Astyanax mexicanus: one gene and its partner. The protein of the gene in region 1 interacts with the protein of each later gene in a biochemical or structural test. Links are inferred from orthologs where the notes say so. Each region holds a gene or a part of one and is shown in the gene's direction. Other genes may lie near its edges. The genes, in order: rufy1 and rab4a.

Region 1 (17,445 bases):
CACAATAAATATCCGACGTAGACAACAGTGCAAACTCAATCACACCGCTGACGTCACCGCTGCACTCCAAAATGACCAGTTCCTTTTTGTTTTTTTCAGTGCGTTACAGAAATCCACTGGGCCGATCACAGTTCAGTCTCGTAGACTCTTCAAAACGGTCAGACTCTGTACCCCAACTGGCCAGTGGAGTGCATGTGTACGCAGGGCACTCTGGAGAAGTGTAGCTCTTCTTTTCCACTCAGGCCATCTGCTTCAGATCGAGCCCTTCTGCTGAGGTAGAAACTTCTGCATGTTCCTCCTGAAATAAAGCAGACACAGAGAATACAAGAGGTCAAATAAGAACATAGCACTAAGCGTACCGATGCACACATATGGGCCGTGGCATTGCCTAGAGAGTGTGTGTTACAGCTGTGTATTGGCAAGAATGTTATATATGGAATATATTATTCCGAAAACATATTGCGACACTGTAAGCAAGGTGATACATTGCAATGGTTTAAATAACGTAAAAAAACTGTAAACTGTAAGAAAACTCTTAATAATATTATCATATTTATGAAATCTGTGATTATTACGTTATCTCCCACCTTACTGACGATATAGGACAAGACTTCAGTTATGCCCCAATCATTTTTGCTGACCTCTGTGTGTATTGCCCATTGCCAGTATCGCAATACTGTGATTCTGTCATATTCAATTATTGAGGAAGATAAAATACCCTTAATAAGTAAACACCAAAAATTATTGATTTATTGGTGTTTGTTTCACAGAATTTAACAAATAAAACTATTTAACACAAACAAAAAGATGCAATATATATTGTGGTATTGATATTTTGTTATTGTCATTATATGTGGCATTATAGTGACAGGTCTATTTACAGTATATGTAAACTTCTAATTAAAAATTTATAATGTGCTTTAAAAAAAACGATATAGTATTGCATCACAAAATATCGTGATACATCTATATCTATTAATATTTCCATACACCCTTAGTGTGTAGTGGATGTGTGGTTGGTGTGTTTGCTTACCATGATCTGCTCCTTAGTGGTGCGGGGATACCTCGAGTTTAATCTTTTCCTCATTCTCTACATCATACGTGCCTCTCTTGTGAAATCTGTGGAGATATAAAACAAAGTCATATTAACCACTTTGAATCACAGGGATTGCTATTACTCAGTTATTATTCAGGTACTACTCATCCAACTTCAACAAGAGGCATTGTAGTGGCCCGTTCTACCGTAGAAAGTAGATGTAAGTGCTGAAGAACTGACCTGAGAGCCAAAAGGAGCCCAATGATGGTGAGACACAGTGAGGACAGCACCACGGCCACCACGGCGAGCGCTGTTGTGCGGTTGTACCCTTCCTCAGGGGTCCATACAGGCAGCGAGAAGGAGTGACACCTCTCCCCTGAGTAACCTGGGTTACATCTGCACAGAGAGGGGACAGGTTCTATGGTCAGGCTTTAGAAGAATTGAAGAATTCTGATCATCATATGAAATGAGAAGAATCATAGTTGATAGCAAGAACTTCTATGTTAACAGGTAACCTGACCAATACAAAAAGGTCCAAAATCCGATTTTAAGTTACAAGATCCTCAAAAGAAATTTGTTTAGTTTCTCAATTTGAAAATGTAGAAGAAGAACCCCTAAGGTGCTTAGAACTTTTTTCTTGAAGGTCCCTAAAAGCATCTCAATGGGTTGCTCCACAGTTTTAAATCAAATAACCTCCAAAAGTTTATGGTAACCTGTTAACTTCCTCTTAACAGTTTGGTAGAGTTTTTGATGAACTAATCTATAAAACAGACAGTTCATCAAGCACCTTAATGGGTTCCTCCAAAGTTTCAAACAGAAGAACTCACAACATACTTATACTTTTAACAGTGTACAGTAAAAATTGTCATTTTTGTTTAGTATATTCTCTTCTAAGAAGTACTCACATGCATGAAGGACCAATCTTCCTTAAGTACTGGCATGTTCCATGGATGCAGAAGTCCTTATATTTCTTCAGGCACGGATTCCTTTTCTTGCCTTTTCCCTTTTTCTGGCTTTTCTTTTTCTTCTCCTCAGTCAGGACTGTGCTTGGGTCTTTAGGTTTGCTTGAAAATGCAACTGCAGGAGGAAAAAAGAATGTACAGTTGACATAAGCTGGTATTCTGCAAAACTGACAACTAATCCTCTCTAATGACTAATTTATGATCAATATCCATTTTTTTTATTGTTTAAATTACCTCTGGGCATCTCATCATCTCCCGACAGCTCGTACTCGTCTATGTCGTCATCATAGTAATACTCCTCTCCTTCCTCCAGTGAGGAATCCACGTGCCTGTTCTCTTCAACAGGTCCTTTCTCGTCCTGCGCCTCAGACGTTCGTAACAGGTGAATCACCGTGACCTGTGCAGGTTTCTCACTCTCATACCTGTCGATGGATGCGCTGCTAACCAGCGTGAAGGCCACTGAGGGGACAAGAGACAGGAAAAGGAAATCATGACATCAGAACTTATAGAGTATGAATAGAGTTCATGTAGAGTGAAAGCTTTGTTGACTTATGGGCTACGCAATCATCACAAACCAGTTTGTTCAGCACCATTAAAAAATTTGGTTATGTTGGAATGCAGCAATGTGGAAATTGTGGGCTGCTATGCAATATTTGTTTTTTTCTTTTGCTGATACTGACACATAAAGTATAAATGTTATATAAACAGAATAAATCTTTTATATATATATATTTGTAGATTGTTCATTCCATCGCACTCACACTCGAAAATTTTGTATCTCCTTCTTTACGTTTTTTCTTTTTATTCATCTATTATGAATTTGACAGCCGTGTGCAAAAATATCATGATGAATGGACCAATAAAAATACTCCAAAATTACTTGGAATATTTTTTTGTGTTTTTTTAACATTGACTTCCATTTATAAAGTTAGAAAGTTGATATTTTGTAGAAAAGTAAAATATTGTATATTAAATAAAATGCTAAACATTTAACACAGTAGCTCATTCAGAGAGAATAAACTTAGTTTAGTATTTTAAATTACTCAACATAGAATATAGGTCTAATTTAAAGTGATTCAGTTAAATTATATAATATTTGTCTGTTCATATAAATACATTTCCAGTTTTATTGTGCTTTATATCAGTTAAAGGTACGATATAAGTTTATAAAGCTTCTAAATGCAATCGCCATGGCTATTGCAAAGGCAAGTAGGGCTTTATGGTGACTTATGCAACAGGCAATGTGCCAAATACAAATGCCAAAAGCCAGTTTTGTTTAGTTTTGTTTATTATTAATATTTAATTGTTTGTTAAATGTCTTTGTAGTTAGCTTAAAAATGATTTCTTTTTATTCTGTTAGCTTAAATAGAGTGTGTGGAGCCCTAGAAGGCACTGGGCCAGATATTTAAAAAAGCTTGCATGCACAGACACTGATCTAATGCATGAACACACGGGTCAAAAATAAACAGATCATGTTACATAAAGAATATTCTTAAATAAGCTGCTGACCAGCTGAACCACATTGTTGCCCTCTAAGAAAAGAAGGGGGCCAGTTTTAGCAGTAAAAATGTACTGCTGTAGTGACCTGACTGGAAGTGTAGAGGAGTGAAATGAACAATATCTACTTTTCAGGAGTAATATGTCCGTTCACACACGCTGAAATACTGCGAATTATAAACTGAATTAACGCATAAATGGAGTGTGAAGTACTTCTGTATACTCACCCAAAACCTGCGCCAGTAGAACCACTGCAGGAAACTTCATAATGTCCAACTTATTGAAGAACAAATGAGAGAAAATCCTTTAAATCGAGTTAAAACTTCTTTACGTAGGAAGATATTCCACACAGGCAGTCCTGACTTTAATCCGGAATTTTTTCCAACCAGTTCGGAGCAGACAGACAGCCAGACAGGCAGGCAGACAGACTGACAGACGGAGAGGCGCGACAGAAACTCTGCGCTGGTGAAGCGCAAGCATTTAAATACAGCCAGACCCACAGACGGTCAGAGCCCCGCCCACACACTGCCAGAGCCCCGCCCTCTCTGTGTGTGTCTGCCGGTGGTGGAGGAAGTATCCAAATCTTGTAGCTATTTAGTTAAATAGATAAATCCAAGGATAACTGGATCTGCCTGACAGGGTGTCGTCTATCATATCAGAAGAAATAGAATCATTTAGATTCATATTAGACACACAAACTATTTTGCAAAAACTGTTGGAAGCACATTTTTACATTATTTTATGAAACATGCCTCCCACAGCTACATTCTCTGTTATCTGGTCTAATTTAAAAACGCTAAAAGCGGGAAGCTACTCAACACTCATTATGGATTTTTCAGGGCACTTACTCAATCTACTCTGGGCATTTAAATTTAATTTACTTCATTTTCCTCATTTAATGACAGACCAATGGCACCACAGGTAGCCTCTCTCTCCCAGTTAAGGATGATCAGACTTTAGCGTTCTAACTTAAAAAAACATCAGACAATAACAGTATAGTGCTGTTTTATTGTGCACGTGTGTGCATGCGTAAAGTGAGAAATAGAACCGTATCGTTGGCAAGAGAAGACTGCTGTATTTTCATTCTTTAAATTCTGCTAAATGGTGTTCTTCAGTTATTTGTTTCATTTTGAAAGATTCAAAAAACACTATTATATAAATTATCCAATTATATCCTATTAGTCCTACCTATTACTAGCAATTACTTCAATTACTACTCTAGGAGGGTGCAGACTAGAACATGCCTTCATCAATACATATGAAGCCATATTATTCATATTATCACCACCTTTTATTCAAGGGCTGCCTATGCAGTCACAAATTACATTTATTTTGTTTACTACTATTTTGTTTTGTTTACTAGTGGTGTCAGTTAGACCAACCAAAAAGTCTTCAATATGTCCAAAAGTCTGTAAACACCTACTGAAACAAAAGTTCTTCTGACATCAGTGGTAGATACATAAAGTCTTTATACTCATCCACAAAATTATTGGATGGAGCTCCATCATTCCAGAGAACACAGGTTTTATAACTTCTGCCAATGCTTGGTATTTACAAGTTGACTTTTATCCATCATGATCCAGAGCATCCCATTATAAAGGTGATACAATCAAGAGCATGCAAAACGTCAACCACTTCAACTCATTTTACGAAGTACTGGATGGAGACCATCATCATTCCAGAGACCATCATCATCCCAATTTCATTGTTTTACAGTTCAATACTGGGGGCTTTATACCCTGCTACAGTCACTTCAGGCTCATGTGTCACTGTCCAATTTTATTGGCAATACTTTCCTATAAATGTAAAACAAGCTGTGTGTGAAAGTGTATGTAATAAAAAATACACTTCATGGACAGAAGTATTGAGACATATGAGCAATCATCGTTTCTTCTGAAAACAAGAGTATTTAATATAACTTGTTGGAGCAACTGTCTCTACAGTCCAGGCAAGACATTCTGTTAACTTACTAAGGTCAGGATGCTGGATAATCAAAAGTATGGTAGTGAGCTGCAAATGAAGGAATACTGCCATCTAGTGAAATTTATCATGACTTTCCACCCTTTCTCATAGATCTATTATTACTGTATATTCTGTCGTAAACCAATCAGGCTTGATAGTTATTGAACATCCAGAATGAATACAAGAATCTTTGTGTATCTAGCTAAATAAAGAAATGTTTGAACAGTGAATTCCCATTCTCCAGCAATAGTGACTCTGTTTGGCTGAGTAAAGGTGAGGTTTGGTACATTATCCCAACAAACTCTGAAGGCCACCATGTTGCTGCCTAAAAAACAAAGATCTCTGACGTTGTTCTGTGGAATATGCCACCATGATGTTGACAGCAGATTCTTAAAAGCAGCATTTATAGCATTTCTATTTTTAAATAATAGCTCCAAAATTATTGTGCTGTTCTATTCACTTGTGGAAAGTAGAATGGTGTCTCTGTCGTTTGTACTTTGGTTTGGGCCTGCTGCTAACTGCACCCTGTAACTTTGGTGAAATAAATAAACATGAAACATAAGAACATAAAAAACAGAGCTGTAAAAGGGAGCAATTAAAAAAAAATCAAAATAGTCGTACACCATCAAAATTATATAAATCAAACCTGCTAGAGAAAGCCTTTTACAGACTTTGAGGAAGCCAGGGAAGTTGTTAGGCTAAAAGCTTACCAAAGTCAAGGGGTTACAATCAGAGGTGGATTTGGAAGTTCTGGGGCCCCAACCTGCTGCTGCAAAAAATGGTGAGCTTTGTCAGACTTTCTGTGTTGGACTTCCTTTCCTTATTATTTATTTATTCATTTATTTTTGCCAACATTTTGGCCAGCAGGGGGCCCCCTGATCCCTGGTTACAATCTCTTGGGCTAGCTAATCACACTTCACACTAAGCAGAAAGCAATTTTACCTTGTAAGACTTAAGAATAATTGCAAAAAAATACAGTGTTCATGTTTCAGTGCTAAGTTTTGCTATGCTAGACTAATGCTGCATATGTAAATGTCAGTGATTTCCAAACGTCTATCCCCTATAAAATGCAGCAGATTTATGGGTGTTTGGTTGAATGTGGTAAATTTAGCCCCGTCACGTACAGACAGCTCCTCATCTGTGGAGGTGGTGGATATAAGTTCAATGGAACTCCTCAAAACAATTTTTTTTTCTGTGTTGTGTTCAAAACTCTGTTTATGAAAATTTCTCTCATCTAATTAGTGTGACACCCTCTAACTAACTGAGTATTTTTCACACTATAAGGTGGAATTCAAATCCTTTATTTTCCCAAAAATTGTAAGTTGTAAGGAGCAGTAAAGCCACTCCACAGAAGTACAGCATTACACAGGAGTTTCAGTGAAGTTTCTCCAGCACTGAGACTGGAGCAGTATTAACATTAGCCGTTAAACGCTTGCTCTTTTGCCGTTCAGAGGTGAGTATTATTGGCTTGTAGCCTGCTGCTAACCCTAGCTAGCACTGCTGGAGCAGCATTAGCATTACTTGCTGACCGCCCTAAGCGCTAGCTCTTTTTTTGTTCAGAGGTGAGTATTATCGGCCTGTAGTCTGCTTGTTTTCCGTGTTAAACAAGCTACATGGGGCAAACTAGGTAATATCGCCGTGGCTTTCTGAAAGACTTAGGGTTCGTCAGTGTAATGCTGAAAATCTTACCTGGAAATCGAAGTTTACTATAAATCCATCAGCTTAAAATCCATCACTTGACGGTAAAATATTTTTTTTTGTTTTAATTACAGTTTTGTTTACTTAACATTAACTTAGCTTAGCTTTACAGGTCTCGCCACCCAGCGGCAAGACCTGCTGAATTAGAAGAAAAAACACGGTGACACGCCTGTGTCTTACTAGTGTTGTGTGGCGGCTCTCCTGCTGCCCTATAGCACTTGTTAGACCCTTTGGTGGGAAGTTAGAAAGACGCGGGGAGGCAGGCTGTCTCTTTCTCTCCTCTGGTCTTTATTACTCTGCACATCTGCACATACAAACAAACAAATAATCCCAGCCGATTATTTAGTGACTGCAACTGCATGTATATCTCCTGCGCTGCTTGCAAGTTCCTCTGGAGCTACGGGGGGCGCAGAGGGATAATTAATAAAAAAAAACATGCAGTTGCCTTGCTGGTGCAGGGATTTGTCGTTCAAAATAAAAGCACAGAAAAATAACCACCTTTTTACTGTTAAAACACATTAACCAACCTCCAACAGGAGTAAAAAAAAATATAACAAGAATCCCTTTTGTTTACTAAAGGTTAATATAATAATAATTTAGTGAGAATTCATATAATTTTATGCAGTTCTTTTTAACTCTGTTACAGTTGCATAATGCACCTTATAATCTGGTGCACCTTTTGTATGAAAATACACCAGAAAATAAACATGTTGTAGTGTGCCTTATTGCATTTATAGAAACAACTATTAGGAATATTGAATACTTTCAGACTCCCACTTAAGTGTGGTGCTTAAAAACACTTCAACTTGTACACGTCACTTTTTTAAATAGAGCTATAAGTTTTTAATATTTTATACATGTCTGTCTATGTGCGAAGGCACTTTGCTGCTTTGTGTATTTATACTTCTGTATTTGTGTGTCTACGACTCAATTTAAACTGTGAAGGCGGGAACTCGAGGGGCTCGGCAGACTAATCACAGCTGCCACATCACCTGGTGAATGGTTAGCAACATTTCTGGGGAGGAGTGCGTTGGGCTATGGCGCAGGGTACGCAGGTACACATAGGTTCGACACAAAAGTAGAAACTGGTGGGTAAAAGGAAAAATAGCCTTTCACAACAAAGCAAAATTACAGGGTAGTAAGTAGATTTGTAAAACAGCATCTGTGCAGTTTTGCCATAATCAAAATAACACACTTTAGTTTTATATTTAAATGAATATTTTGATTTAGATTAGATTATAATTATGCTTCAAATAACATCTCTCAAACATATGTTACCACCTTAAACCTGAAATATCAATCGATTTCTCTTCCCTGGTAAAAACAGAGAATCGCTAAAAGTCCGATCGATTACTCTGGCCTCGTGACTCCTGGAGTGTCTGCAGGTGATTACTCTGGCCTGGTGTCACGTGGTGTGATGCGGAAAATGGCTGACGGAGATCCAGACAGTGCAGTTGTAAACAGCGCGGTTAAAGAGGCAGATCCGGACCCGGCTCCGGCCGAGCCCGAATCCGCGGCGGTGGAGGGCGAAGGGGAGCGGAGGGATAAAGCGGCGGACGGGTCCTGGTCCGCTCCGATCCTGTCTCTGGCCCGGAAAGCCACGGAGACGCTGAGCGGAGTCAACAGTTACGGGTCCGGGTGGAGGAGGTCCGGTTCTGTTTCTGAACAGCTGAGTCCAGCTTCTCCCACCAGCACCGACCACCCGGACACCAACAGACCCGGTACAGAACCCCGAACACACCACAGTACCGATCATTTTAACCAGTAACGTTACAGACCAGAATCTACCTTAGAGTCAGCTGTCTACAGTGTCAGCTGTGAGTCAGCTGTCTGAGTAACTTTTACTTCCCCAAAAACTACAGTACACTATTGTACAATATAGTACAGTACAGTACAGTACAGAAGAGTGCATTACTTTTGTTACCCTGTTGCATAAAAACAGTATGGTTAGATAAAATGGTTAAGCTCTTTCGCAGTGGGTATGACTGGGTTCGAGTTTAAAAGTTTAGCTGATCTACAGTCATGATCAACATGACCAAGCTAGTTAACTAGTTATTTAGTTAGATAACCAGTAGTAAAGCTTTTACTGTGCTTGTTGAACAGAATACCAGGCATTAACAGCAAGACCAACATGGCCAAGCCTGACAAAAATAAAATACAGTATACCCTATGCTTGTCACAAACTGTTTAACCAGCTAGCCTATCAGCCTGTGGCCTGTTTTAACCTGGATGACCAGCTTTTACAGTCCCTAGTCCGACAGTATTCTGCTAATAACAATATAGTTCCATAGTCCAACTATAGACTCCTGTTAATAATATAGTCCCCTAGTCCAGAAATGTACTCCTGTTAATAGTATAGTCACCTATTCCATCAGTGTAGTCTTGTCATAATATAGTCCCCTAGTCCAGCAGTATGGCGATGGTAATAATATAGCTGCTAGTCTAACAGTATTCTCCTGTTAATAACATAGTCCCTAGTTCAACAGTGTTCCTTTGGTAATATGTCCTTTGTCCAACAATAGACTCATTTTGATAGTATTGTCCCCCTAGTCTAGCAATATGTTAATATTATCACCTATTCCTAGTCTATATGTAGTCTATATAACTATTAGTCTATATGTTTATATGTATTCTGTATAACTGTAGTCTATATAACTGTAGTCTATATAACTATAACTCTTTTGTTGGGGTTATTTTGGGGGGTTTGTGTTTGTTTGGGAGATGACAGTATTTGTGGTGGTCCCACTGGCGGGGTGTTAGTCACTCTCCTGATGTTAGGGTAGAGGGTGGATAAAAGTATCGGCTGTAGAGTCACTGCTGTTTGGTAAAATCCTCTAGGCCAGCCGCTTAGTTTTCACTGTAGGAACATGCATTTCATAAATGTGAATCTTGTTTACACTACGTCTAAACTGTTTGTTTAGCTTTCTTGCCTTTTTGTATTCTGAGTTTAGTATACTGGATATATATTGAATAGTTAGTGTGTTGTGTTTTTGCAGCTATAAAAGATCCTGTATTGGTGGAAAGATCCAATCTCTTAAGCATGATGAAGCTCAGCATAAAGGTCCTGATCCAGTCGTCCCTCAGCCTGGGTCGAACCCTGGACTCTGATTATCCACCGCTGCAGCAGTTCTTTGTGGTGTTGGAACACTGCCTTAAACATGGATTGAAAGGTAAAGCAGGGCTTCCAAACTATTGAAAGAATGTGGTTAATCTGAGCATGCTTGCTGTTTCAGAGCTGCATGTTAAACTAATCCCGTTCTGCTTCTCTGTTTAGTGAAGAAATCCTTCATTGGCCAAAATAAATCTATCTGGGCTCCTCTGGAACTGGTAGAGAAACTGTGTCCTGAGTCTGCTGACCTCGCCACCAGTGTGAGGGACATGCCTGGCCTTAAGTAAGTTTCTTTACAGCTGCAGATCTTTACTATCTCTTATGTACACAAATTCTTCAGTAGTGGTGCAATACCACTAGCCACTTCTCTTTGTTTAGCTACACGTTTAAACAAATACAGTACAAGTCAAATCTTTAGACACGCATTCTCATCAATATTTAATCTTGATTTGTATCATTTACTGCATTTGTAGATTATAATTAAAGACTATGAAGAACACACATGCAATAAGGCACTAGGCCTTCACAAACATCTGACATACAAACCCAACCTAGGTCGTTTGGGACGAGTTGGAGCGCAGAGTAAAGGAAAAGCAGTTTACAAGTGATCACCACCTCTGGAACTCCTTTAAGATAGCTGGAGAACCATGCCAGGTTCTACATCATGAAGCTGACTGAGAGAATCAGCCAAGAGTGGGCGAAGGTGGCATCAAAGCAAACGTTGCTACTATGAAGAATCTTAAGTATAAAACATATTTTGCCTTGTTTAACAGTTTTTTTGTTTACTTCATACTTGCAAATGCAGTCATTCATAGTTTTAATGTCTTCAGTGTTAATCTACAATGTAGAAAATAATAAAAATAAAGAAAAAACAATAAATGAGAAGGGTTGTGTCCAAACCTTTGATTGGCACAGAATAGGTAATTATGGAAATCAATAATATTAAAAAGTTCTGTATTGACATCCTATTGGTGCAGATATAAATCTTTATTTAGATAAAATAAGTGTAAAAATAAACAACAAAAAGCCAAAATCATATATAATAGAAATCATGTAGCTAGAGTGGAGATACGTTTCCCTATTTTTTTTTTTTTTTTTTGCTATAACAGTGTTATATCATGCATTGTGAGTTTTTTTTTACCTAATATTATCAATCCAACTTTTCTTCTCTCTCTATCTCTCTATCTCTCTCAGGACAGGACTGGGGCGAGCTCGGGCGTGGCTGCATTTGGCCCTTATGCAGAAGAAAGTGGCAGATTATATGAAAGTTCTGATAAACAGGCGAGATGTCCTGAGGTGAGATGATCGCATGATCAGACACAAGCACTACTCCAAGATGTAAGATCTTTAATGTGGTCTGGTATTTTATATCCATCCACCTCTCTCTCTCTCTCTCTCTTTCAGTGAGTTTTATGAACCAGGAGCTCTCCTGTTGGAGGAGGAGGGGTCAGTCATCGTTGGGATGCTGGTTGGTCTGAATGTGATTGATGCCAACCTGTGTGTGAAGGGGGAAGACCTGGATTCTCAGGTGGGTCTCACACTGATGCTGGCTGTGGCGCATTTCCCTGTGCTGATGATTTGTCATGCACTTGCTCATCTTGTTATCATCTGGATGTTTTAGGTGGGCATCATCGACTTCTCTCTGTACCTAAAGGATCCACAGACAACTGAAAACACACAGGAGTGAGTAGTGCTGTTACACCAAGTATTACACTAATGCCAGATTAATGTAACATTCTATTTCTGAAGTTTACTGTGTCACTTGTGTAATGCAGTATGTCATAGAAAGCATTACCTCCCACAGTGGACAGTACAGCTCTCTTTAGTTTTCATGGGATGTGGCAGAAGTGCTATACTAAATCTTGTCCCATGACATATGAGAGTCAGTGTACACTGAGCCACGTCACTCCAATCCCAACATGTTAAGAATTTTCTTTCTTTCTCTTCGTCACAGTGACTATTTGCTTTAAAATGGCATAAGATATTGTGTAGTGTAGTATATGTAGTATGTATAATGTGCAAATATAAGGTGTATTAATTTAAACCATGGATTTTAAATATTTCAAATATAGACTGATAGATTATTTATTGTTGCCTGATGCAATACTCCAAAATGAAAAAATCTCTTAGAATTACATTCTTTTAAAACACTGTCAACATGTTTTCCCATCTCTTGGAGTTAGTTGCTCAATTGAACATTTTCAGTAATGCCCTATTTATAGTTAATATTAAGTCTTATATATAGATAACTATCAATGTAATCTATCTTGAGATTTATTCAATACTTTTAATAAATGGGACATTCTGGTAGCTGACCCAGATTTAATTAGGTCATTTCAGAATAATCTGCAGCTCTGCTCATCACAGTGGACAGACGCAGCTTGTTAAATCATGTTTGAAGCACTTTTTAGTTATTATTTAAAGATAAAAAAAGCCTATTAATTGTACACCCTTCTAATGAATGGGTTCAGTTACTTTAAGTTGCATCCATTGCTGATACAGATGTAGAAAAGCAATACCAATAGAATAGGACTTTTTGGAGTAGGTAAACATAAAGCTATTGTTAGATATGGGTTAATGATGATCATTGTGACTGATAGCCACTGATGGTTACTGAATACAATCAAATACTCACAGCAATACTCCAAAATCCAGATCTGAAAGCCTTTTTTTGGACAATAGAGTCAGTTCTAAGAGATCTTTTAGCGTATATGCATGATTAACCTGGTAATTACAGATAATAATAACAGAAAGCCTCATAAAATGCCAGTACTGTATATTGTAATGAATTTATTTGCACCTAAAATTAGCTCCCTGATCTTAGCTGAGCTTAGCTGTTTATTGTATTATATTTGTTGCCAGTGATTCCAAAATGACGGCGATTCTGGATCAGAAGCACTACATAGAGGAGCTGAACCGCCACCTGAGCTGCACTGTGACCGACCTACAGGCCAAGATGGACTCACTGGAGAAAACCAACTGCAAACTCATAGAGGAGGTCAGATCTTCTGCGTCCTTCACACACTTACATGTTTGCCAGACGATCTCGTATTTCATGGTAGTTCTGTCCTCGGTCTGGTTTTGAATGTTGGAACGTTGAAATGTCCCAGGCAGCTGTCCTTCATTCATGGCCATTACCACCTACATGTGTTAGCAGTGCTGAAGCTCTGTGTGTGTTCTGCAGCTGTCAGCAGCCACAGACAGGATCAACGCCCTGCGGGAGGAGCAGGATCAGCTGCGGCAGGAGAACGCCACCATCCTCCAGTCCAGCCAGAGAAAAGAAGAGGTAGGGTTCAGAATGATGCCAGGCTAATGAACACATGTTCTATTCATAATATGAGTCTTGTGTCACAGAGTGTTGGGAAAAAACATTAGAATAGGGTTGACCAACTCTGTGTGTGGAAGGATACCTTTCTGCAGACTTTAGGCCCTTCCGCACATTGAGTACAATTTTTTTACAATTTTAGACAATGTTCACATTTATCTGCTTCTGCCTCTCATGGTGACAGTATGATAATGACATTACTCATGTCGGCTATTAAAACAAATATGTTGTGTGATAATAATTTTTGTCATTTTTTTTGTTACTGTTAAGAAAAAGGTGTGGCGCTGAGTGGTTCAGCAGTCTAAAGCGCTGCCACTATGAGCAGGAGGTCGCAGGTTCCAACCCCCCTCATGCAGCTTTGCCATCAAGCTGCCGGCGTTTAGAGGGAGCAAAATTGGCCCTGCTCCCTCTGGGTGGGTAGATGGCGCTCTCTCCCCACATCACCCCTAGGGTGATGTCTGCAGCACGGGCGTCTGTGAGCTGATGTATCCGAGCCGAGCCGCTGCGCTTTCCTCCGAGCACGCTGGCTGCTCGGCAATGCTGCATCAGCAGCAGCTTGAAAAGAAGCGAGGAAGCATGTGTTAGTCTTCACCCTCCTGGTGTGTTGGGGCATTACTAGTGATGGGGGAGTCCTAATTGGGTTTGATAAATTGGGAGAAAATGCGAAAAATTAGGGGAAAAAAAACAACAACAAAAAAAAAGAAAAAGTTTTGAAAAATTGTTTGTCTGTCAGTATTAAATTCAAAGATTTGCATTGGTATCCAAAAATTCTAAGTGACTACTTATTACACATTGAAAAAGCGGTAAATGTGGATTGATTATTCTCCTTTTGTAATACAAAAAATGAAGAAACAAATAACATATACTGCAGATTTTTGGGCATGTGGTGGGGCACAAATGCAGATTTCTGTCATAGTTTCAGGTTTATAGTAAAATCCTATCTTTATCTAGCAGTGTATTCTGTGTCTTTATACCTGTTTTGTCTTTTCTATTTGTCCAGGTGACTCTGCAGGACAGCCAAGTGGAGCTAGAGACGTACCGGCAGTCCCGGCAGGGTTTGGATGAGATGTATAACGTGGTTTGGACGCAGTACAAGGAGGAGAAACGCATTCGGCAGGTCAGTCACTCGCTTCCCCATACTGAATATTTCAGTCACAGTTCTTACAGTTTTCATGCACATTCACTATTTAACTCGACAAAGGCAAGTTTATACAATGGTATTAGCAATTCAAGTAGACCTTTGTTAGCAGTGACACTTTCTTACTTTTGATGTAAATAATCTACACTACCGTTCAAAAGTTTGGGGTCACTCAAACAATTTTGTGTTTTCCATGAAAAGTCACACTTATTCACCACCATACATTGTGAAATGAATAGAAAATAGAGTCAAGACATTGACAAGGTTAGAAATAATGATTTGTATTTGAAATAACATTGTTTTTACATCAAACTTTGCTTTCATCAAAGAATCCTCCGTTTGCAGCAATTACAGCATTGCACACCTTTGGCATTCTAGCTGTTAATTTGTTGAGGGAAGCTGGAGAAATTGCACCCCACGCTTCTAGAAGCAGCTTCCACAAGTTGGATTGGTTGGATGGGCACTTCTGGCGTACCATACGGTCAAGCTGCTCCCACAACAGCTCAATGGGGTTCAGATCTGGTGACTGCGCTGGCCACTCCATTACCAATAGAATACCAGCTGCCTGCTTCTGCTGTAAATAGTTCTTGCACAATTTGGAGGTGTGTTTAGGGTCATTGTCCTGTTGTAGGACGAAATTGGCTCCGATCAGGCGCTGTCCACTGGGTATGGCATGGCGTTGCAAAATGGAGTGATAGCCTTCCTTATTCAGAATCCCTTTTACCCTGTACAAATCTCCCACCTTACCAGCACCAAAGCAACCCCAGACCATCACATTACCTCCACCATGCTTAACAGATGGCGTCAGGCATTCTTCCAGCATCTTTTCATTTGTTCTGCGTCTCACAAACGTTCTTCTTTGTGATCCAAACACCTCAAACTTGGATTCATCCGTCCACAACACTTTTTTCCAGTCTTCCTCTGTCCAATGTCTGTGTTCTTTTGCCCATCTTAATCTTTTTCTTTTATTAACCAGTCTCAGATATGGCTTTTTCTTTGCCACTCTGCCCTGAAGCCCAAAATCCCGCAGCCGCTTCTTCACTGTAAATGTTGACACTGGTGTTTTGCGGGTACTATTTAATGAAGATGTCAGTTGGGGACCTGTGAGGCGTCTGTTTCTCAAACTAGAGACTCTAATGTACTTATCTTCTTGCTTAGTTGTGCAACGCGGCCTCCCACTTCTTTTTCTACTCTGGTTAGAGCCTGTTTGTTCTGTCCTCTGAAGGGAGTAGTACACACCGTTGTAGGAAATCTTCAATTTCTTAGCAATTTCTAGCATGGAATAGCCTTCATTTCTAAGAACAAGAATAGACTGTCGAGTTTCAGATGAAAGTTCTCTTTTTCTGGCCATTTTGAGCGTTTAATTGACCCCACAAATGTGATGCTCCAGAAACTCAATCTGCTCAAAGGAAGGTCAGTTTTGTAGCTTCTGTAATGAGCTAGACTGTTTTCAGGTGTGTGAACATGATTGCACAAGGGTTTTCTAATCATCAATTAGCCTTCTGAGCCAATGAGCAAACACATTGTACCATTAGAACACTGGAGTGATAGTTGCTGGAAATGGGCCTCTATACACCTATGTAGATATTGCACCAAAACCAGACATTTGCAGCTAGAATAGTCATTTACCACATTAGCAATGTACAGAGTGTATTTGTTTAAAGTTAGGACTAGTTTAAAGTTATCTTCATTGAAAAGTACAGTGCTTTTCCTTCAAAAATAAGGACGTTTCAATGTGACCCCAAACTTTTGAACGGTAGTGTACATTTTAAGAACTTATAAACGACAGGCATTAAAAATACATTTATGTCGAGTTATGATGGTGGATTTTAATGTTACCTCTGTTTGCCCTGAGCAACACATTTAAATAAGGCATATCCATATATTTAAAAGCGGATACAGTACCAGTCAAAGTTCAGACACACCTTCTCATTCAATGTTTCTTTATTTAATTTATTTACTACATTGTATATTAATATTAAAAACATGAAAACAATTAAAGGAACATGGAGTTAAGTAGTAAACAAGAAAAGAGTTTGTCCTTTACAAACCCCTGACCTAGAGCTTCACAGCACGAAGCAAAAGCAGCAACAATTGTTCAGCACCTACAGAAACTCCTTCAAGATGCTGAGGAAACTATTCCAGGTGACTCTCCCTAATGAAGACACTGAGATTAAAATACTAAGAGTGTGCAAATTTGTCCTCAAAACAGTGCTCCTTCTAAAGAATCTAAAGTATAAAACATATTCTGGTTTAACACTTTTTGTTTACAAAAGCTATGTTTACTTCAATATAAAATCTTCAATGTAAAAAATAAAATAAAAAGAAAAACAGGTTGAATGAGAAAAGCATTTTTGCTGCAATATTAACTGACCTAAGTAGGTTATCTTTGCATATTCAAAATTATTCAATATAAAAGCTGCTTATAAGGTTAAAGGAGCTGCTTACTATATTTTCTAAAAGAAATACCTAAATTAAACAAAGTTTTTTTTGTGTGTGTGTGTTTAATACAAGTTATGAGCTTCCATGCTTTTGACACCATTGAAAATATGAAAGATGTTTCCATATAACTATATATGTTGCTGTTACTTTTTTGACACATTTATAAATACATGGAACTGAAGTTTCAATTTAGTAATTAGACTTGCCTATATATTTAAAATAAAATAAAGTATATTTTGACTGTATCGCCCAGTCCAAAAAATATGACATTTTTCA
Region 2 (16,561 bases), on another chromosome or scaffold:
ACAGCAGTACTGCATGGCATAGTATATTTTGGAATTTCCATCATACATCTTCTGTACAATATTATTATAATATAATGTAGTTAATAGTGAACTATATGGGGAAAAATGTACTGCTCAGTTTTTACAAAGCACTGCAAAAATGGCCAATGCAAATTGCTTAGTATTTCTGCAATAGGAAACGATTCCGACACCGCCACACACATTCATTATTTCCATTATTAGATTTGCTTATAGAATATAGAGTTAGACATATGTCCCTGTTAGGTTAGGGCCCCCAAGATATAGTCCAATACCCAAAATGAAGCTAATTATTTTCCTCAATTCTGACTCCCCCTTTCTGTGTTTTATTTTTTATTTGTTTTGCTAACCACCCCCATAATCCCTTTATTAAGTTCTCTAAATTCTCTAATTATCTATCCAGTCACACACCTCTCTGACATTATTCAACAACTTAATTATTTATATTAACACTTCCCCAACCTTGCTTACATTAAAGTACACTGTACTCATGATTGGGTATTCACATTTTCACATTTTCATTTTAGAACTGTCGTATACAAAAGCCTTTTCCCCCTGTTCACCTCTGTCCCCCATTTTCACTGTGTATTATTCTATTTCCCTACTGAATCATGTTCTATTTTCTATGATATCTCACAAGCGTTAATTCACAAATAAAAACCAACCTCTCAGTCTAAACCCAATAGGCTGGACCAACTCCACCTACTTCACCTTGGACTCCTCCCCTGCAGTGGGACTCATCCATTCCTATTTCGTTGTCACACAAGATTTCGTACACTCAACCAATCACACCGCTCACAGGAGCCCCGCTTACAGACAGTTTCACACACACTCCAACACATACGCACACACTTCTGTTTCACGCACTCTGTCTTACACACACTCGTTTAATTCGCTGCCATACACTTTCACACTCACTGGTACACTTTTAATCCCTGAAACAGACACTCGTACACCCTTTTACTGTGCCTATTCAGTCACCATCACTATCGCTGCTGCAGTCAGTACTGTCACTACTGTCATCCCCCAGAAAATGAATGGTCGAGAAAGGTGGGTTTAACATCAAACCATTTTCTCTTATCTCAGGCCGGATAATGTCATGACCGTCTAACACCCATACCCAGTGTTCAGTCATTTTCAATTAAACAAGTAAATTACACCCATTGTTCTGTAGAATTGTTAAGTATACTCCAACTATCCTATTTATTTTATATATGTATATATTTTATTATTATGTTATTTAACCCCCCGCGCGCACAAATCACATACAACAATTAAATCAACAATTAGCAATTGCTTTACCTTAGTTGTACAATACCAATAGCATATGTATTTTTATTTTGTTTTTCTTATTTTTATTTAAACTACATACTCTTTTCCTTCTTTCCTGCACCTAAGCAGAAAACACTACCTCAGAGTATTTCAGTGCTCGTTCTTTAAACTAAAAACTTAAAATAAAGAAAATAAAAAAGTTTTAAAATCTCCCAGCAGTTTGTATAACCGTCTGGGTTTAAGGTGGACCAAGCCTCAGGATGACCCCGTCTGTCCCGGCAATTATCCCACCTTGATCAGGGGTGGGGGGGGTACGCCAGCTCCCAGTCCGTTTATTTTATTTAGAATTGACCACTTTCAAGGAACCCCACGTCCTAGCCTTTCATCTAACCCAATATGGGCAGATTTGGGTACGCCAGCACCCGGTCTCATTAGCACTGTTTTCCTTATCCTTTATCCTTTTATCCTTTTATCCTTTTATCCTTTATACCGGTTTCTTAAACATAAAATAGAAGAGAAAATAATAATAAAAAAGTTTAGTTGTTCAATCCAATTTACCAGGATTAAGCTTACTGGATCCCATCACTCATTCTGTTTGAAATATCCAATATGCAGATTTTTTAATAAAAAGGCAATCTGCTCACCTGTGTAGGATGGGCCCAAATGAGTGAAGAAATCTGTCAGCTGTGTCCTCGCCGGCCGAAACCCTGGATCGCACGTCGGAAGGTCACCAAATTGTAGAAAAGTGCTGTCTTTAGCTTCTCTGTTGAATGTTCGTTGATCCAGGAATTCAGTCGACACGGAGATTGAGAGTGAACAAGTATGATTTATTTCAGATATCTGGGAAGAACAAATACAGGCAAAGCATCCTAACCTAAGCTAGTAAGTCGCCCCCAGTTCTTCTGCCTCGTGCTGATCTGACTCCAATATATATACCCTCCTGTGACGTATCTTGAGTTACTTGGCATGAATGAGTAATACTTCTGTTTTTCTAATTATTAGTCCATTTTTAGTTTTATTCAGTCTTTCTCAGAACTCGTTTTATTTAGACCTTCTCGGAACTTCTGTTTGACCTTTGCCCAGTAGGCTTTCTGGGGAATCGTGAGTTGCCAAAAACACTGCTCGGGAAGTTTCAATTCCCCTAAGTGGCGGGCCTTTGGTTAAACGAGGTTCTATTATGGGTTATTGATTCCCCTGCTCAATGAAGAAGGGAAGATTCAGTTCCCCTTTTTGGCAGGCCCCATGGGTTATTAATTCCCCTGCTCAATGAACTTCCCCTATTTGTGGCGGGCCATGGTTAATTAACATTCACATTGTCTCACTGTGTATCTGCAGTAAGTTTTAGTTCATACTCTCCGTTTTATAATGGTATCGTTATATCTACCGTAAGATTAGTTAGTTAGTATATCTTAAACAAAGCTTGAAGTTGTATGTATAACTTTTCAGAGTAATCTTTTAATGTAAGGTTACAAAATGTACTTTATTCCTAAACTAGTGAATAAAGAGGAACCCTGTAGTCTGTGTTTTATTCATTAGTTTCAATCTAGCTGAAAAGAGGAACCCTGCAGTCTGCCACGCTCTGGGACCGCAAGATGTTTTTACCATTAAAAAGAGGAAGCATGTTTTCTACAGTTGACCCTTGGGTCAGTGCTGCTGAGATGAGAGATTCTTTTAAGCAAGTATATGATGTGTCTACGTGTGGAATAGTAACTAAGTATTAATGTTTACGAGAAGATGACGAGAATATAGAGTATAGCTTACATAGATATATTTGTGTAATATGTGTTTTAATTATCTAAGCTAAGGCTTTAGCAAGCATGATTATTGTAAGGTAAGCTCTAGTATGATTATTATAAGGTAAGCTTGTTATTTTAAGGCCAATCTTCCACAGACACTTACTCATTTATTGTTTCTTTTGAAATGTGTATATTCTGCTCTAGTAACTGTCGCTACTGTCTGGTAACTGCTAAGTGTAAATAATTTCAATATTTGATCATTTCTCAAATATAATGCTGAAATTAGTTGCCTTCCAATAGTATAAAATACTTATAGCATACAAAAACAATGCAGCCTTAGCTTCTGTGGCCTCAAACATTAGGCTACACACTGTGCATGCTGTATGCTTACTCAGTCCAGAGCTTTTTTACACACTGTACACTGCCCCGCCCCTTCTGGACTCTCTCCCAACGCTCAGCTCTGGCCTGTGCTGGCCTCAGTATAAGGACAGTATTCAGGGTGTTTGCCACTGATGTTTGTCAGTGGGTCTGTGAGCTGGGTTTCCACTCAGTCTGAGCCAGCAGAGGAAACCGTCTATAGGATAAACAGGCCTAAAGAGGCCTGCCGTGTTTGGAAAGGAGAGAAACACTATTTCAGTGATCCTGCCTTTAGCAGACCAGCCCAGTCACAGCCTGCACTGTTAATGCACAGCCTCTCAAGGCCTCCTCACGCTTTAAACTAACAAACCATATGTCGGTAAGAGCCCAACGAAGCCATGGAAATGTTGAGTGTTATTCTCCTGTCGATGCAATTAATTGCATAAGAAGTGATTTTATGACCTATTTTAGATCCAAACAACCAGCCAGAAGAACTCTCATAAAATTAAGCCTTTCATTAAAATTCAGTACACTGCTTAGTCACTGCATCCAAATCAGCAGTTCCAAAACATAGTCTTCTTACAATTCTTAAAGTTGCTTAACCAGTTAAATTACTCTTGAGTAACTTAACTTAAGCAAATAATGTAGATCTCTGAATCTAATGTATATATACAAATCAAGCATAACATTACAACCCTTTTTTCTACACACATTATCTATCTATTTCAGCTATTCTGAGCATAAAGAGAAGTACATTGTATTTCTACAATTACAGACGGTAATACTTCTGTACTTTTTTTTTATCACACATCAATTACATAGTGTACAAGGAATAATGATATATTGCACAGAATGTGTATATTCGGGTTGGAAAAACACTTCGCATTCACGTTTAGATGCAAAATATATTTGATATGTGACATATCCACATTTTCTCTTTTTGTAAAACAGCAAAAATGCCTCTCAAAAGCATTTTTTTTATGTAGGGGTATCACCATTTGTCTTTGCAGACATATCACCACAAATAGGAAGAATATGTTTGGGAAGAATGTGTTTGGTGATAGCATTTCAGTTCTTCTCACGACAGCATTTGACATGTTTTTCTGTCCTGTTGCGTGCTCTACAATCTCAACCTGGCACAGACACAAGTTCTTCTGGTCACTAGATTGAGTTAAAATAAAAAAAGAACTCCCATTTTTCAGAATAACATCCTGACTCAGACAGTGTGATGACATTTTTAGATTTCAAGGACAGTTAACTTCCCTTCTTCCTGGTTACCATTGTACTCCAGTGATAGCGAATCACTCCAGTGAAGGCTGAAGCCCCCCGAGTTCATACTATATAACTTGCTTACAGTAGCAGAAGATGGGACGTTGCTGTTATAAGTAAAAGCTAATATAAAAGGCAGAAATTAGTTGGCAAATTCCATTTTATTACCAATAAATTACACAGTCAATAGTGAGAAATTTGATGCTCAAAAACTATTCTTTTTTTAGCTCCAGTGTTTGATTAAATGTGGATGTAACTGAAGCAAACAGAAAGAAAACCGATATGTTAAATACATGTGTTTATAGTTACTGTCATACACAATCTCAATATTATCTCTTTTTACTTTATAAATTGTGTTACTTTGGCAGTTGATTCTCTATATTCTACATTATGTTAGAAATGCTACAAGATACAAGGTAATAACAATGATTATTTGCACCAGCACTGCATGATATTGGACAAAAATTACATTTTCTTGTTGTAAACACAGGCTTTTTTTTTTACCAGTTTTCTCCTAATGCAAGTGATTCAACATGTTATGATATTAATAAATCCCTTTTTTGCCTTGAAGCCTGAAGTAAAATAAATGATCTGCCTCTAGTAAATGCCATTAAAATTAAACCAAAATTAAAGCAAGTTGTGGCAGAGTGTGTATGGGTTCATTTGGTTTACATGAAATAATAATGTGCTACCCCACTTTTTAGGCAAAATGGTTCTGTCTAGTACTCAAAAGGGTTATTTTCTTGTAACAATATAGTGTAACACTTTTTTGGTGCTATATAAAACCATCTACTGAGAGTTTTCAACATTATACCCGGCAAGAAGAACTTTAAGCACCCCACCTTGTGATTAAACAACGTGTGCTTACTTAGAAAGGCTAAGAAAACCTTATAGACCTGCTCTAATGCTGACCAGATAGGCAACCCAAATCCCAATATATCCCAATTTAAGGACATGAACATTTATACCTGCACTGTTCAACTGTTGCTTGTAATAACATAATCTGTCTGACAGAGACACCAGAAGGAAATCTTACCTTTGACAGCATGTTAAAGCTCTGTGAACCATCAGCAGTTTTCTTTAACATACACTGTATCTCAGATCCAGACAGGAAGGACCTAAGAAAAACAGGAAGTGTTAGAAGAAAGGAGAAACATTTCTATACATTCTCAGAAGCTATATATACACAAAAACAATACAATGATGATACATAACCATCTGAAAAGCCATGTGGTGACTAATACTATCAGAGGTCTTCTTGAGTGGGTGTTTACTTCATTTCAGGGATTCTACAATGACTTCAAATGCTTGGTTGGTTTTAATTTGTGGCGCTTAGCTCTGGGACTTTTTTCAATTTTCAATTCCTAAATTACCAGTGTGTGTTCCTGCAGGAAAAGTGAGTGTATGAGAGGATTATGCAATGCACGCACATGGATTGTTAGTGGTTTACTCTGGCTTTTCTCATATGCTCTTCATTACACATGCAATTAATAACATCCACAAGTCGAAGCAACACTGCTTGAAATTTACAGCAGGCAATTTACATCTGTAATCTACAATCAATCACTTCGTCACCGTTCATGTATCTCTAGCAAATCCTAAGAGGAAAAGAATCTTGGTTTCATTAAAACTCTTCAGCATCCTTTATTTTATGTGCTCCATGATACAGTTGCATAACTGTAAGTGGTGGATAAATGGCGGGTAGTGTGGTTAATATAATGTGCTTTAAAAACACACACAAAAACAGACAAGTCTAGTTTTGCCAGACCACCACTGGCTGCATAGGATCATCATTGGTATCTCAACAAAGGGAAGCTCTTTTTAACAAAAGTTCTGTGGCATAAAATATGACATCAATAATGTTTCATGTATCATATCATGTGACTCTGTCTCGCTCTTAAAAAGGTAATTGTGTATTTGCTAATTTTTAAATCAGAAGGGCCAGGGTAGCAACACTGCGACCGCAATGCTATTACCACAGTAATGATGCTGAGCAAGGTTAACTTCCTGCATGGTAGCAATGCTAACGGCACTGTGGCGATGTTTGCAGTGTGGTAGATAACTAATAATGTTGCCTTTCAACTCTGAAGCTTGGTGGAAAGAGCCAGTCTTGTGTCATGTCATGTGTCCATTTCTTCTTCTAACAGTTTAACAGTTTGGGTATCTTAGCATCTTAGCATCTTCCAACATTCTACTCTCACATTTTTCAAACATGAGATCCTCTAAGCAACTGTCTAAATATCTGGTGGCGAAAGTCATATGCTCATCTCCCTCGGAGAGAGGCGGGAGGAAAATAACAAAGTGTATAAATCCTGTGGTTTCAATGGTTTGAAGTTTTATTACAAAGATATAGTTCTGAGTATTTGTGTATATACAGATGAGGTGTGTTGTTCCAGTGTGCACAACATAAACATCATACATCTTCATCAAACTTCTAACAACAGAAAGAAAATCTTACTTTATGAGTTTTGGAAAACAAGTTTTGTGGACTGATAAAGTCAAAATAACTATTTGGCCACAATCTGCCCTGAAACCAAACTTGAATCAAAATAACAAAGAAAAATGCACTCCTATTTTATGAAAAGAACACATTGCCAACTGTGAAGCATGGCAGTGGATCTATCATACTTCACAGCATGGCGCTGTTTTGCTGCCAATGGAGCTGGCAATATTGCTCAGGTGAAGAGAATAATGTATTCAACAAAATGCCAGAAAATCCTGGATGCAAATGTCAAACCATCTGTGAAATAGCTGAAGATGAAAAGAGACTGTTTCTACAGCAGGGTAATTATCCAAAATAAACCTCAAAATCCACCATGGACTGCATGAAGTAAAGAATTGAAGCTTTTGGAATAGTCCTTATAGTTCCCTGTTTTAATTCATATGACAAATATGTAAAATATATGAAAAATATATTAATAAATCTTAAACAACATCTTAGAATATCTCAGAACCTGTACAAAAAAGTTGAAGGAAATCTTCTCTCGTTTCTTTAAATTGCTTTTGTCAAGCATTAAATGCATTTGCATTGTAAGATTTTTCAATAGTCACCTTTCAATTGTCTAATACAATCGTATGATCCAAGATAAATATATTAAACATATATACTACCTTATTTATAGTCTTTACTGTTTTTGTCAATGCATTTTTGTTTTTAATCATCATTAGGATATAATCCTGTTTGCAGGATTAGTGTAAATAATGTGTGAAATATGCATGATGAACTACCACCCCCATGTGGTCACAGTATTTACCCTACTTCTGCCTATTAGAAATGTTTGAGAATGTTCAAGCCTAAATAAACCAGAAAGAAAACAGATAGACCAAAAAGCATAAATATTATTTGTTATTATAATTATATAATTATTTGATATTAAATTTCAATACAACAGCAATCATCAGAAATAAACACAAATACACTCCTTATTTTTTGTACTATGGATAACAGGGTTTTAAGCTGTTTTGTTTTTCAACACATAAGATGTTATCTATAGCCAATCCATTGTTAGCTGAATCATCCATTACTATAATGTAACTTTAACCAACCTATTTTATGAATAGTAATCACCTTGCTCCAATTACGAAAGATATTGCAACAGAATTCAATTTGTGAATTAATGTGTCTGAGGACAAATAAAGTTTTTTAGAATTTCATCTAAAACTTAACAGAGAAATTTAGCAGGGCTACATAATATTTTATGTTAAATGTGTTTGGGGTTCAAGTGAATACTTATAAAAATATGAAGGGGACGCGTCCCCCTTAGATTTAATTGAAACAATGCCCATGATCTAAACTGCACAGAGCATCTACGGTGACATCTTGTAAAAAAATAAATAAATAATAATAATTGTGGCCACAACTTAATAATGTGTGGGAATGAGAAAATAATTTGTGGGAATGAGATAATTAAGGCGTGGTCATGACATATTAAGATGTGGGAATGTGTTAATTAAATTGTAGCCATTAAGGCTGTTAAGGTTTTCACAGCTAACAAAGCAAGCAGCTGTCAGGGGTTGTGCGCAATATGCCTGACTAAGTAAGGTAAACATGTCTGCATACTGTTTTAAGCCTGAGCCCGTCAGCTTTTGGTATAAGAATTAAGTGTCTTCTATTTAGAATTATACCATGTCTCACCGCAAGATACTCCAAAAAATCACCATAATTTATTCTAAGATGAAAATAAAAAGAAACCAATTCAACAGTTGCAGCTGTCTGAGATCCAGAAATTGTTTGCAGTTAGTCCAAACATGCTTTAGAATGGATGATATGGGGCATATTTTGCCCCTGCACATAAATAATCTGAAGAGCCCTGACATTTAAAACAAAACATTTAGAAACTTTAAAAGTGCACAAGAAGCTTATTAAAAAACACTGTTTACAACTCGAAGCATAACCTAATCTCTGGGCACCGCCATCTTTTTAAATTAATATTTTAAAGTACTGTATCTTAGAAAGCTGTGGGAGAGGGGAGGTGGTCTATTCAACAAAGGTTAATCCTTTTTATCATGTTTTACTACACAATTTACACCAGAGTTCTACTTTAATTTACAGAAAAGCATGTTTTACTATTATCTGGCTATGACTTAATTATCTCGTTCCAATGCATTAATTATCTCGTTCCCATGCATTAAGATCTAATTCCCACACCTTAATAAGTCGTGGCCACGCATTAATTCCTTTTTTAACATGATGTCACCTTACGGGCTCCGTAAAAAGACGGAATCTTTTTTTTTTTTTTTTTGCTGTAATTTAATTTAATTTAATTCCAGGGCTCCGGGATTAGCTGGTGAGGTCCTCCCGCTGCGGCGGATCTGCAGCCTCTCAGGCTTTTACTGTGAAAATCTCTACAGGAAGTTCACAGCCTGGGAAGTCCGACAGGATGCGCGGATCCCTCTGAGGGATTTCCCGTTATTTAATATCCTCTCCGATTCAACAGAGGCTAATAAATATCAGACCTGACTCCCACAGCGTCTGCCATGTCGGAGACATATGGTACGGAGCGCTGGGTTGTGTGTTATTCCGCTGTCACGGCTGTGTCCGCGGGGCTGTGTTTATATAGCAGGTGTTCAGCTCTCATCCACCGCGCTGCTGCTGCTGTTGTGGTGTAAAGGATCGCAGGCTAAGCGCGGGGATGTATCGGTAGCAGGCAGGCAGGGCCGGGGAGCAGCCGCGGATAAACACCGGGCTGTTTACTAGCTGGAGAGAGGAGGAATTTAATACAGACCGTGAACAGGGGCAGGAGGGCGTGAGGAGAGGGCAGGAACGCCCTGAATACCGCTGCTGTGCTGTAAGAGGAGTGTGTATTAGATAGCCTGGTGTTACTATGCAGTAGAACCGAGCCTGGATCATTAGTTAGCTTAGTTTATCCAAAACTGCTAGCGTTATTTATTAGCTACCTATCTAGCTAGCTAACTGATAACTAACCTAGCTAGCTATGTTAGCTAGCGTTAGATATATAAGTTAGCTAGTTATGGTAACTGCTAGGTCAATTTAACGTTACTGGATGTTGTTCCAAACCTTAAACTACTGTAGCTATAGCTGTAGCTGTAATGTTAGCTGCCTGTTAATAAACAATACACTGATAGTTTAACTTACTAGCTAGTGTCTGATTCAAACTAGGATTAGCTATTTAATGCAGGTCTATTTCTGTGTTTTTCTTGGGTTAGTCTTTAGCTAGATTTGGTTTTAATGTTTGTGGTAGGGCTGGAAGGAATTAACCCTTTCAGACCCTGTGTCAGTTACAGTGGACATCATGTAGTTTTTTTGTCAAATGGTTTTTTTCACAGTGCACTATTTGAAACCTGTTGTGCATTAGAAAATAACATAAACCAGCCAATGAAACAGTAGTTTAGCCCCGCCCACTGCACTGGGAATAAATCAGCAACTCAGACATTAGGGCATGTCAGCACTGCAGAACAATTGAGGCAAAGTAACACAAGCTCATTATTACTAATTATTTGTGATTTAGAACACTTTTTGATTTATTTTTATGAATAAAAAAAAAGTTAATTGGATTTATTTGTATACTTTTTTTATTAGGATAATAGTGTCTTAGTTTGTGTGCATTACAGACAGAAAACTTAAGCTACATGGTTGGTTTAATGTGTTAATATGTTTAAGTAAAATTAACATTGTTGTTTTATTCTATTTATTCTATAAACTACAGCATTTTAAGTTTCCCAAACCTAAAAAAATTGTCATTTAGAGCATTTATTTGCAGAAAATGAGAAATGGCTGAAATAACAAAATGCAGAGCTTTCAAACCTCAAATAATGCAAAGATTATAATTCATAACGTTAATATTCATAAATCTTTTAGAGTTCAGAAATTAAAATTTGGTGGCATAACCTTGGTTTTTAATCACAGTTTTCATGCATCTTGGCATGTTCTCCATCAGTCCTACACTGCTTTTGGATAACGTTATGCAGTTCTGCTTGATTTGATGGCTGTGATCATCCATCTTCCTCTTGATTATATTCCAGAGGTTTTCAGTTTGGTAAAATCATAAAACATATCATCATTAAGTGGTCTCTTATTTTTTTTTCCAGAGCTGTATATATGTAAATAAGTAAGGTATCTTCTGTTGTAAACTTACTAAAACAGTGTTGTTGTTTTTTTTTTCATTATTTGTCTTTGGGCAGTGTTATGCAGGTTTGGGGGCTTCCTTGCTTTTAAACAATTTATTCAAATGATCAGTTTGTTATCAAAATGTTTATTTATAATTGTAGCCAAAGCCACAGATGCTCCCAATCTTACAAAAAATTCTCTCCTAAAACATATTTCATACCATAGAGGATACATTTGACTAATCAAATTATTATTTTAATGCAATTGTCAAAGTGGGATAATTGAGATTGTACTTATTTACATATAGAAGCTGACAGAGGGAATCTCAGAAGATAGACATTTGTTTCTGTCAGAATCCTGTAAATAACTATTTTATACTGCAGTGATTTACATATTTTACATTTGTCTTAACTTAAATATAATGAGGTTATGTTTACATCGTGTTTCATCGTAAAATCTGCATGTAAGGTGAAGAAAAAAAAACACATGCTTATACTAATTATGAAATAAGTGAAATTGTGAAAACTGCTCTGAATAAATGTTACCATTCTTATTTTCTCTTCAGACTTCCTGTTCAAGTTCCTTGTCATTGGGAATGCAGGAACTGGAAAATCCTGCCTCCTTCACCAGTTCATAGAAAAGAAATGTATGTATGTTACCAATAACAATATAATATTATTGAGATGTATTTTTAAACTATGCATCCCTTCAAAAAATAACATACTTTTTCTTGTTCTTGCAGTCAAAGACGACTCAAACCATACAATTGGTGTAGAGTTCGGCTCGAAGATCATTAATGTGGTTAACAAATTTGTCAAACTCCAAATCTGGGACACAGCGGGACAGGAACGATTCAGGTGCGCTCATGACTTCTTTTCAAAACTGAGAAGTTAATTTTAGACATTTGAATGGGGTTGAGCAATATGATAAAAACTATAACTGTTTTGCAGAAATATAATACAATCGAATACATTTGTAATAGGATTATACAGTTGGTAAATGTGTAAAGCACTGATGTGTCTCTACACAATCTAATTATGTAATATTGCCCACCTAGATTTGAGTGAAAAACAAGCTGTGTGCTCAGCATTTAGCACATATGGCCTCTCAGCAGTGTGCAGCATTACACAGAACTACTTGTTCTACCATACACTTGACCTTTGGCATAATATAAACAAAACAGTGATGAATCATTGTTGCTCAGGACTGAAATAAGTTTTTAAAATCTATTATGCTGACCTAAGCTTTGAGTATGAGGTGATTCTGCAGTATTGTTCCAGTTCATGTTTTTCACCTTTCATTGTTTTGACTTGTGAAAACTATCAGTATTTTGGGAGATTAAGCACAGAGTTTATATTTTTCCCCCCTTAGATCTGTAACAAGAAGCTATTATAGAGGTGCAGCCGGAGCTCTCCTCGTCTATGATATTACCAGGTACTGAAACAGTGTGAAATCTTGTATTTTTGTGAGTCGGGTTGTATTTTCTTCCCCATTTTTCCCCCCACCTTCTCTTAATCTGTATTTTTTTCCTCAGTCGGGAGACGTACAATGCTCTGACCAACTGGCTGACAGATGCCAGGATGTTGGCGAGCCAGAATATTGTAATAATACTGTGTGGGAATAAGAAGGACCTGGATGCTGATCGTGAAGTCACTTTTCTGGAGGCCTCTCGCTTTGCTCAAGAGAACGGTGAGTACTCCTACTTAATTAAATAAAAAAACATTAAATGTGTAAGTAAGGTGTTGAGTTGCCAGAAGAGCTTAACTGTGCCTTGGGTTAAATTTAACAAGCCTCTGGATCAGTACTGGAACACAGTTCTTCTAACACAATTTTCCTCATCCACTGTCCAACAAGTCAATCCAAAATCCAAAAAATCCCTAAATGGTTTAATTGCATTGCAATCCAGTATGATTCTGTAAGCCACAGAACATATTTTTCACAATATACCTTCTTACTCATAGGTGTGGAATGTATAATTTTGATTGTGTCCTATCAATACTAGGGGTGGGCGATATGGCTCTAAAATAATATCACAATATTTCATGGCATTTTTACGATAACGATACTTTTAGCGATATGACAAAACACTGAATTAGAAAAATTATTTTGAATTGTATTATTGCATGCAATATGATATGGCTAATTGAGATGTTTAAAAATAATAATTGTATCAGATTTGTAACAGAAGTCAATGATCCAGAATGTCATAATACTAGTAATGCACTCAAAATATCTCCATATATGCAGGATTAAAGTAAAAAAAAAGATACTGGACAGATAATCTGTGTCTAGTAGATATATAATGGGAAATCAGAACAGTGTGAATTTTTAAAAAGTAGTTAAAAAAAAAAAAAAAAGTAGTACTTTGATGTGATAATTAGTGGTGGGTGATATGGCACGATATTTCAGGGTATAATATCGTTCACAATATTCAAAATTTCTGCCGATATTATCACGTACGATACGATATGGCACACCCCTAATCAATACGTGAACTCACCTCTCCAATTTGACTTGCTAAGATTATTAAAGCATTTGCTTATTTATAAGTATTTTACCCTCTTTAGTAACAAACATGGGATTCTCAGTTAATCCTGGTTTTCCTGATATTGTAGAAACCAGTAAGATTTATGCCCGCCTTTTCCCTTCTTCAGCACACCGATTTTATACAACATAAATATAAATATAACTTAACTTACATCAACTTTGGACCAATATATGCAGCAATTAATTGTTATCATGATGTAAAGAGTATTTCACAAAATACGATAATGTAATTTAACTGACAGCAGCTGCTTCTGCTTGTCTGCAATTATCTTATACATTAAGCACAACCTTCACTTTCTCTCACTGAAGATTCAACTTGTTCATTGTAATTTTATAGATATCGTTCCCATAAATAGAAGTGCAGTGCAGATATTCTCTATCAGATCAATCTTTAGCAGAGCTAAAGAGATTCTCTATTTCTACTGAAACATCAGTTAACTTTCAGTTGACTTTTTGACTGAAGCTCCTGAAACCTGTGCCCCAATAGTGAATCAAAGTTATTTAGGATGATGATAAGATAGGATGTCAATTGCTTAAATGTATCATAGTGTGCATGTATAAAAGTATCTTTATTAAAATTATATTATTTTATTTGTCACCCATCTGAACAAATATGACGGTGTTACATTTAAGGTCATTGTGTTTGTGTCACTGTAATACTCTTTATCTAATGAGTGTCTCTGCTGTGGTTGTACCACAAGAGGCCACTATAGGCTTGTAATTAGACAGAGATTTACTGAGAGAAATACTGCGAGAACATACTCTTTATCCACTTTCAGTTAAATACAGACCCAGTGGCATATGAAAAATCAATATTGACATCAACATAATGTCAATCTGGAAGTGACTCTGAGTGAAATCTTTTAACATTGACTTAAGTTTTGTAACTTAAAATAAGGTTGCTTCATTATGTGATGTAATGATTTGTATACAAACTATACAGTATTAGTATATACATCTTTTCACAGTGATTGATTCTATTGATAGATGTAGTTGTGTAGTCTTGTCCTTATATATCTGTATATGCTTAGGTTCTAGTCATTTAGGCTAATATATATATATATATATTGTATTTTACAGTCTTACTTAAATTACTATATATTTTTAATTCTGTGTGTCTTTCAGAACTCATGTTTCTAGAGACCAGTGCTCTAACAGGGGAGAATGTGGAGGAGGCCTTCGTTCAGTGTGCTCGTAAAATCCTCAACAAAATAGAATCAGGTACTGCTGTAGCTGAAGCTGTTACAAAATAAGGAAAGTGTACTGCTGGTGTAGCATGTTGTGAAGTTTTTGTGACTTGTGCTCAGGTGAGCTGGATCCGGAGAGGATGGGTTCAGGAATTCAGTACGGTGATGCAGCACTGCGGCAGCTACGCTCCCCAAGACGAGCTCAGGCTGAGAGCGTGCAGGAGTGTGGCTGTTAGCATCCGGACGTTAGAGCTGAACAGCCAGGTGAGAGGGGACTTTACTTTTGATTCATTACAGATTTTTTATTTAGTGAGAGAATACATATTAGGGGTAACTCCTTGGTGAATCAAAATTGCTTTTGTTTGCTTGGCTTAATTACAGCAGGGTGATATCTTAAAACAAATTATTATCTCCAAATCCTTAAATTAGTAAATTATATGCATGATTTACAATTACAATAAAAACTGAAAAATAAAAATTACAATAAAAACTAAAAAAGACTCAAGGGAGTCAAAACCATACAAGTACAATAAAACTTTAATTAAAACATTTATTTTGTTTTTAGGGAATAGCAAGCTGCTCCCTGCAGCATTACAGCCTTATATATTGCCTTATATTTCAGTTAGGGCAAAGTGCAAAAAAAAAATCACTTCCACATTAGAATTGTTTATAGGCTTTTTGGCATATGCACAAGCCTTTCTACTATACTTCTATTAGATTGTCTCTGACAGGACAGATGTAAAAGTGTATACAATTTTCTCAGTAATTTGATCTTCCAGCACTAGGTATAATTTAGAGTTATGTTTAAAAATGGCAGGTATAACCTTTTAAAAGTAGAGTACTGTAGACTATAAAATATTACACAGAGGCTATGACCAAAATACATCTATTTTCACGTTCAAATTGTAAAGTGGAATTTAAGCATGACTTTATTCACTATAAACTCCCACAATGCATTAGTAACCAATAGTAAACATTGGAACTCACTATATGAGTTGAATTCGGAACCAATGTGCATTGTAAGTCTTGTTACTAAGCAACAGAGAGTGGAATAACCTAGACCCAGTGGCATTTTTCTCATACAAGAGTTTGATAGTAACTGGACACAGAGAATTTCACATATATTCCCATCTATTTGTTAGTAGCCAATAATGGGAGGCTTATGCTAGTGTATATGATGTAACAGTCAAACATTGTGTCTGAATTTACTCCTGTTTAAGCAATACAAGTGCTAGTAAACTAAGTAGTCTCTTCTTATATAGTGCATTAAGGAGTAAGGAGCCACTTTAAAACACTAAAAATGTAATTTCTTAATAAGCATAGGAAATTACAATACATTTTAACAGTGCAGAATGTACTTCTAACATAGTTTAGATGTAGTTTCTTGGTAGAACTGTCCAAATGCTTTAAGGGACACAGCCTCTTCTACCTAAAAATAGCAATTCTAAATATAAACAGATGTATACTGATTTAGTTTAATAATAGGAGATTATAAATATAAAGGATATGTAAAGGACCAAATCATGGAATGATTAAAAAACTATATAAAAAGGTTATGCCTGATTTACGTTTTATGTCCTGTGCTCTTTAAAATTAATTGAATAATT

The links.
Region 2: the proteins of rufy1 (region 1) and rab4a form a complex in vitro, tested with the Homo sapiens proteins (2 studies listed by BioGRID). The link is inferred for Astyanax mexicanus from reciprocal best matches to the Homo sapiens genes RUFY1 and RAB4A.

The regions. Positions count from the first base shown.
Region 1 is NC_064417.1:28,103,935-28,121,379, forward strand, and holds the start of rufy1 (RUN and FYVE domain-containing protein 1), read left to right. Parts: upstream 1-8,490; 5' UTR 8,491-8,572; coding exon 8,573-8,876; intron 8,877-10,151; coding exon 10,152-10,325; intron 10,326-10,429; coding exon 10,430-10,547; intron 10,548-11,458; coding exon 11,459-11,560; intron 11,561-11,668; coding exon 11,669-11,792; intron 11,793-11,885; coding exon 11,886-11,947; intron 11,948-13,126; coding exon 13,127-13,262; intron 13,263-13,448; coding exon 13,449-13,550; intron 13,551-14,589; coding exon 14,590-14,706; intron 14,707-17,445. Other genes in the region: hbegfa (heparin-binding EGF-like growth factor a), read right to left, coding at 1,047-1,119, 1,277-1,432, 1,942-2,113, 2,233-2,457, 3,723-3,762. UniProt on the Homo sapiens protein: Activating adapter involved in cargo sorting from early/recycling endosomes. Regulates retrieval of proteins from endosomes to the trans-Golgi network through interaction with the dynein-dynactin complex.
Region 2 is NC_064414.1:38,724,924-38,741,484, forward strand, and holds the start of rab4a (ras-related protein Rab-4A), read left to right. Parts: upstream 1-9,496; 5' UTR 9,497-9,629; coding exon 9,630-9,645; intron 9,646-11,785; coding exon 11,786-11,866; intron 11,867-11,962; coding exon 11,963-12,077; intron 12,078-12,591; coding exon 12,592-12,654; intron 12,655-12,754; coding exon 12,755-12,909; intron 12,910-14,892; coding exon 14,893-14,988; intron 14,989-15,074; coding exon 15,075-15,190; 3' UTR 15,191-15,218; intron 15,219-16,561. UniProt on the Homo sapiens protein: The small GTPases Rab are key regulators of intracellular membrane trafficking, from the formation of transport vesicles to their fusion with membranes.